2 linked regions of the Ovis aries genome follow. The protein of the gene in region 1 interacts with the protein of each later gene in a pairwise test. Links are inferred from orthologs where the notes say so. Each region holds a gene or a part of one and is shown in the gene's direction. Other genes may lie near its edges.

The links.
Region 2: the proteins of DMRTB1 (region 1) and PKP2 interact in a two-hybrid assay, tested with the Homo sapiens proteins (2 studies listed by BioGRID). The link is inferred for Ovis aries from reciprocal best matches to the Homo sapiens genes DMRTB1 and PKP2.

The regions. Positions count from the first base shown.
Region 1 is NC_056054.1:27,981,640-27,985,758, forward strand, and holds the start of DMRTB1 (doublesex- and mab-3-related transcription factor B1), read left to right. Parts: upstream 1-1,311; 5' UTR 1,312-1,632; coding exon 1,633-2,218; intron 2,219-3,825; coding exon 3,826-4,031; intron 4,032-4,119.
Region 2 is NC_056056.1:182,586,472-182,589,988, forward strand, and holds part of PKP2 (plakophilin-2), read left to right. Parts: intron 1-1,632; coding exon 1,633-1,750; intron 1,751-2,594; coding exon 2,595-2,756; intron 2,757-3,517. UniProt on the Homo sapiens protein: A component of desmosome cell-cell junctions which are required for positive regulation of cellular adhesion.

The DNA.
Region 1 (4,119 bases):
ACATCTTTTCAGCTTTCCAGTATATAATCAGCCTCAGAATGGCAACCATTTCCTATTGTCAGGTAGTTGGTGAGAAATGCAAAGTACACCTGCAACCAGCGGCTCAGGAAGATCAAGGTGAACACCAGGCCTTGGCTCTCACTTCTACCATTCTGTTACCAGGTACGGAAAACTTCAGCGAAAGGACAATTAAAAAATACACATTTTAGCCAGGTATTTGTATGGATGTGAGAGTTGGACTGTGAAGAAGGCTGAGCGCCAAAGAATTGATGCGTTTGAACTGTGGTGTTGGAGAAGACTCTTGAGAGTCCCTTGGACTGCAAGGAGATCCAGCCAGTCCATTCTGAAGGAGATCAGCCCTGGGATTTCTTTGGAAGGAATGATGCTAAAGCTGAAATTCCAGTACTTTGGCCACCTCATGCGAAGAGTTGACTCATTGGAAAAGACTCTGATGCTGGGAGGGATTGGGGGCAGGAGGAGAAGGGGACGACAGAGGATGAGATGGCTGGATGGCATCACTGACTCGATGGACATGAGTCTGAGTGAACTCCGGGAGATGGTGATGGACAGGGAGGCCTGGCATACTGTGATTCATGGGGTCGCAAAGAGTCGGACACGACTGAGCGACTAAACTGAACTGAACTGAACCCCCTTAAAGGTAATGATTAATCCTATGATGACGTTTGTTTGTTTGTTTTTTCCTTTCTTTCTTTTTGGGACCTAAGCGGGGGAGTGGGGGGGGGAGACATCAGGGTGTCACGAATTTCTATCAAACAAGAAAATGAATTAGCTTAGCAGTCTTGGGAAAACTATGAAGTTATGGCAGCTTTGCAGGTGTCCCAAGATTTGGGTTGCTTTACAGGAATAACTGAATTCATGGCACAATTAAGTACTGGTTCAAGCTCATGCTAAAATATCCTAAGTCCCTTTTACTTTAAATCATTCTAAGTATGCTTTTCTTTGGAAGGCATCAACTGCAATATGCCACTTCCAGAGATGCATTCCTATACCAACTAGACTTTAAAAATGGTAATTACTCTAAAGGCACACCCTTGAGCAACCATCACACCGCACTGAGCTCCTGAGAATATTCTGGAAGCATCACTGTGAACAGTTGCTTCTCTGTAGGGGAAAAAAGTGAAATTAAACAGAAGCAGCAGCTTCTGTATGGAGAAACACGGTTTGACACTTGGAATCCTTTTCTACTGCAACAGGTTTACCAACAGCTGCGTTCCTCTGGAGTTTTGAATCTGTGAATCCTTGAGTATCACTCCGCCTTTTTTTTTTTTTTTTTTTTAATCATGAAATACCTTCTGTATACCGTACGGCAGGAAGAGAAAGTTTGGAAATTACATGCATAAGACTCAGCTAACCCAGATGACATACATGCAATAGCATTACTTGAAGAACTTATTCAACCCAATCCTTTGCATCTTGTTAACCAAGGCACAGAACCTCTCCAAATTTTGCACCAAAGAAAAGAGAGAATGCAAGGGTCTTGCTGCAGCTCCTGGGACGCACTGAACACCACCTTGTTACAAGTGTATCCAAAGCTCCCAGCACCAGGGACTTGGGCGGACTGCTTCTCTCTGTTTCACTGTCCCTGAAGCTTTCAGAGGAGACGGTTGTGCTATGAATGCAGACCTTACAAAGCAGGCCAAGAAGATGCTTCGTACCCCCAAGTGCTCGCGGTGCCGGAACCATGGCTTCCTGGTACCAGTCAAGGGCCACGCGGGCAAGTGCCGCTGGAAGCAGTGCACCTGCGAGAAGTGCTACTTGATCACCGAGCGCCAGAAGATCGTGGCTGCACAAAAGATGCTCAAGAAGCAGGCCTCTGGAGAGGAGCAGGAGGTGGCCCTGTGCGCACAGGGACCCCAGCTGGCCCCCGGGGGCGCGGCCGCCACCCCAGGCCCAAGCTTCTGCCCGCTGCTTCCGCTTGCCCCTTTGGGAGACGCGCAGCCGGGCCCTTCGGGCCAAGCGGCCGCCTGCCTCCCTGAGAGGCCCCCGCGGGGCCAGAGCCCCAGCCCGAGTGCCTTCCAGCCAGTTCTGGGCGGCCACAACCGCGGCCACGTGGGCCTGAGCGAACAAGCAGCCAGGGCCAGGCCCAGCTCTCTGGAGCCCCAGCTGACGGCGGAGGCCGCCGGCCGGGGCTACCCCGGCTGCCTGGAGCTGCGCAGGCTGCCGCGGCCTGTGCCGAGCCCGCCGTTCACCGACTTCGGTAAGATTCCCGGTGCCCTGAGCCTTTGTCCCGCTGTTGGTTCCTCTCCGCCTCCCCACTTCCCTCACTCTGGCGTCCCAGGCCAGCCGCGCGTATGGGCCCTTGGGGTGGGGGTGGGAAGATGCTTTCTAGAGGGAATCTTGCTTCGGGATACCTTTTTCTGAGTAGGCATTTGGGTTTGGTGCCTTTTTGCAAGAAGGTAAAAAGAGAGAAAGGAATGGGTGGTTCTGAGGGGGTAATTTTAAAAAACATTTAGCTATAGTCTCTGCTTTCCCATTCCGGGAGAAAAAAAAAATGGCCGCACACACACAAAAAAAATGGCCCCCCAGTCTGCTTAGCTGAGGCTCCTCCTCCCAACAGAGGGGATCGCGGGAGAGTGGCCATATTGCGCTTGCGCAACTCTTCCCACCCTTTTCTGGTGCTGGAGGCTCCTCCCCCAGAACGTCCTCGTGGGTGGGCCAGCGCCTTATGACTGCACCTGCGTCCCTCCGCCCACCCCTCCCCCATCTTCTGTGCCCTAGTCAGCTTGCTCCTCAGCCGTGCTCTGGCCCAATGGCTGTGTATGGGCGTTCTTCCCACCTGTTTCCCAGGCATGGATGGGAATGAGACCTCTTTTCTGCTCCCTACAAGAGAACAGTCTATTGAGACGTGGTTGCTGTTTTTCTCTCCTCCCTCCACATGCATAAATTACATTGTTCCCTAGGTATTGTAACTTTCACTATTATAATTTCAAGTCACATGTAGGTTTGAGACTTTTAAAAAGGGGCTCATTTTGGGTGCAGACACGTGTTTTCTGGTTTTCTCTATGGCAGTGTGGTAGAAAGAGCGCAAGTCTGAGTCAGGACGCTGAGGGGCTGCTCACTTGGTAATCTAAGGCAAGTTCCTTCCTTCTGTGACAGCCTCGCCCCTCTGTAGGCTAAGGGGATTGGCTTGATGCTCTCCGAAGGCCAGTTCTGCCTTCTGGGACGTTCTAGGAAAATATAGGTCCCTAGAGAACTAGATGAGGAAGACAGATCTGAAAAGCAGTTCTAGGAGAAGGATACCTTTCTACGGATATGGAGCCTTTCTTTGTTCCATCAACTGAGCACTGTGTGCCCAGCACTAGTGATGAAAAGGTGAAGAGGGGTGAGTCAGATTCCTTGCCCTCAAGGATCTTGTCCTTGTGAAAGAAAAGGACATCACAGAGAACTCTAATAACCAGTGGTTTAGCTGTGGTCTGAAGGAAGATCAGGAGCTGAGCACTGAGGATTCAAGAAGGCAAGTGGAGTTAGGAAAAAAAGCCTTCCAAGCAGAGGGGACAGCATCTGCAGAGGCCCTGAGGTGGAGGAGAAAGAAGGCGCTACTAGTGATCAGACAGTGAGGCTGGAGTGAAGGCAGGAATGCAGTCTGCGTGGGCTTCATGGCTGGGCCAAGGACTTTTGCTGAGGGCAACAGAACATGGTTGAAGGGTTTAAAAAGCAGGGAGGATCAAAAGCATAATGGATATGGGAGTTGTCTGTGAATGGATATGAGTGTTTATTTATACTGCTACCTTCAGACGATAATATGGTGCCCTTTTTTCTAGCTCCATGTGTTTTTAACACTTCCCTCGTTGCATGTCTTTTCAGGGCTCCCTCTGAGCATCAACTCAGATTCTGTGGTGGGGTCTGAGTGCCTGGAGAGAGAACCTCCCAAGCTGTACCCCAGCTGCTCCAGCATGCACCCCTACCGCCCTTTTCCTCTGGGCTACCAGGATGCGTCCCCAAGTGTGGGGATCCCTCTGCAGCAGAGTTTCCAGCACCTGTCCTATAGCCACTACTATGGAGGAGGCTTGGTGAGTCCCATTCCTGATATTTTCGAAGTTCCTCCCTATTTCAGCTGCCCTGGCTGCTTTAACAGACTTTCTCCCAGGCAGCCAGCCA
Region 2 (3,517 bases), on another chromosome or scaffold:
ATTTGGGGACAGAAAGGCTTTTTTAAATCACTTACTACAGTATATTAAAGATGAAGAAAATATGACCCCCAAAGTTCTCAGAATTGTAGTTCTTTCAGTGTTCAGTATCACACTGAGACATTATACACAAAAAGAATATGCTTTGTAATGTTCTGCCTACAGTGAAGGGAGCTGGTCTGATAAATTTTATAGGAATAGTTCTTAGCCAATGAAGTTAGCAAAAGAGAATGAGGGTGGTTTTCAAAATTCTAGAAACCTGAAGTCGTTCTTTTGTCATTCTTGTTTATAGAACTGCTAAAATTTTTGGAAAAAAAATTTTTTTTAATAGTTAATGCTGACAAGAAAAATTAATTCAAAGGGACATAGTAATACCAACATAAAAACATTATCTGAATCTGAAATATGATCCCTAAATATATTACTTTACTGTATTTGATAACCTTCAGTGTCTATAAAGAAGCACTTTTCACATGTAGATTTAGTTACTATTTATAGAAAGGTGTCATGGCTTAGCCAAATTAGAAATAGACTAAGTGCAAAGATGCTTATAGGTCAGGCTTGTAACTTAGGTCTTATACACTGTGAAACTGCATTTTTCATGGCATCTCTCTGTCATTTTAATTATAGAATCATCACATTTTAGAGCATTTGGTTTAATATTTGTCAGTAACAGTTTATGCTGAAGCCTGGAAAACCTCCAAATGTTATAGTCTAACACTCGGTATTTACAAATGAGGAAACTAAGGCCCAGAGAATTTAAGAAATTTTAATTTAATTAGAATTAAGGCACAGAATAAGTTGAGACTTGAACATGTAGTGTATTACTACAGCTAATGTGCCATTTATTCTACTTTTAACTGTAAGACGTTTTCCTCATATATTTATACCCTTTCAAAAATAGGGTGAAGATTAAGTAAATAATACTCTGGTGCTTGGAATGAAGTAGACAGAAGGCTTACATTACACAATGATGTGTTATGAATATATTTATTAAGTTGTGTCCAGAGTTGATGACTGTAGGCAATTGGTGACTTATTGAGTCTAGGACAAGTCTGTCATACTTGGACAAATTTTCCAGTTTTCCCTTGGAAGAAACTTTGAAACAAAAGTAAAGCTTTGAAACAAAAACCTATTAGATACACAGCCTGAGTATATCTTCAGTTCAGTTCAGTTCAGTCGCTCAGTCGTGTCCGACTCTTTGCAACCCCATGAATCACAGCACACCAGGCCTCCCTGTCCATCACCAACTCCCGGAGTTCACTCACGTCCGTCGAGTCGGTGATGCCATCCAGCCATCTCATCCTCTGTCGTCCCCTTCTTCTCCTGCCCCCAATCCTTCCCAGCATCAGAGTCTTTTCCAATGAGTCAATTCTTTACATGAGGTGGCCAAAGTACTGGAGTTTCAGCTTCAGCATCATTCCTTCCAAAGAAATCCCAGGGCTGATCTCCTTCAGAATGGACTGGTTGAATCTCCTTGCAGTCCAAGGGACTCTAAGAGTCTTCTCCAACACCACAATTCAAAAGCATCAATTCTTCAGCGCTCAGCTTTCTTCGTAGTCCAACTCTCGCTTCCATACATGACCACTTAAGCCTAAATCTTATGACTAATTGTTTGTTTGTTTTTCCTAATAGAAATATGAGTTCAGCTGGCCCTGAAGGGAGAAAGGTGATGAGGAGGTGTGATGGACTGATTGACTCACTGGTCCATTATGTCAGAGGCACCATTGCAGATTACCAGCCAGATGACAAGGTGATTTAAGAGTTAGATATCTCTCATTATTTTGTCTTACTAAGACTTCAGAGTATTCTTGAAGTAGCTGCTTGGGTTTGACTTTATTCATTAACTCATTTGTTGAGCTTAAGATTTCCCATACATGCTCATAAATTTTAAAATCTATATAGTCCAGTTTTTCTTTCTACTTTCCAGACCCAAATTTCAAACTGTTTAACACCTCTAGATATTTGAAAGGAACTTAGATGCTACATTTTCAGCAATGAAATTCACCTCTTCCTTCATCCCCAAACTTGCTCCTCTGTATAATCCCTCTTAATATTTATCACCATCTACCAAGTGAAAATAAAAATCTAAGTAATCTAGGACTTCTTCTCTTCCATCACATCCCACATCCTCTGGACAACAAATCATGTGCATTCTACTTCTGAAATACTCTATAGTTTAACCACTCTTCTTTAATGCTACTACTGCTATCCTAATTTGTGCATCTTTCATACTGATTATTGTCGTCAACTCCTGATTGATCCCTATAAGTATTATCTCCTCCTGTTTTCCAACTCCCATGGCTGGTAAGCAATATACCTAAAATATAAAATCATTCTGAACACACTGTAAAAACCAATGTTTTAAAAAATTTAGCCTCTATTTCTTAGCATTGTGCTCATGACCATTTATGATTTAACCCTAGCCTTTCTAGCCATACTTATGTCACTCCCCCAGGCACCCCGTAGTCCAGGCACACCCTGTTGCATCCAGTTAACCTTGTAAGATCTAAAGCCTCAGAAGTTCTGTGATATGATACCTGCGAAGTTACCTGTATATACATATATATAATCAATATTCTTGTCCTGTTTCTCAGGCCACAGAGAACTGTGTGTGCATTCTCCATAACCTTTCCTACCAGCTGGAGGCAGAACTCCCAGAGAAATATTCCCAGAATATTTATATTCAAAACCGGAATATCCAGGCTGACAACAAAAGCATTGGGTGTTTTGGCAGTCGAAGCAGAAAAGTAAAACAGGTATATTGGGAAGTCTTTGAAAGAAAAAGTGTGCGTGTGTATTTCTAAGTACTTAGTGTATGTCAGGCTCTACTTTAAGTTCCTTTAATCTTTGTATCAGTCCTATGAGGTGTATTAATATCTTCCTTTACTGATGAGGAAACAGAGATACAAAAAAGTTAATTGATTTTTCCAAAATAATTCAGCAAGTTAGTAAAGGAGATAGAATTCCATCCCAGGCAATCTGGCCCCAGATTTACATTGTTAGCCATCAAACCATATGCTCTGTGCCCCACAGTTTAGGAAGTAAACTTAATACCATGTGGCCAGTGGTATAGCATTGTCTTAACATTAAAAGAAGCCTAGACATTCAGCTTTAAATGTTCTAGAAAACAAACAAGATATCCTAAAAGCAAACCGCATAGGAAGGACACCTTCCAGACTGGCATTTTATGAAAATTGAAGGAATGTGATCTCTCCTACTCCTCAGAGTACCACTGTGTTGATGAACTTGTAGAATACTTGGTAAATTTAGAATCCTGATGCTATCCTGGACAACTTCACAAGACTCTGAGAAGAGGCCTGTTTTTCTTATCTTCAGAGCAGTTGTGATAATTTAGCTTTTAGCTTATCAGCAACCTGAAAAATATTCTAGAACAGTCTTTGGTTAATTCTCTGTTATTCTCTCTCACGGTGAGGGAGAAATAATCATCATGGGCTAAAAGTTAAGTGATTGTAAATCATACATGTGTGCCTTTTTAATAGTTAAGTTCTTATTAGTT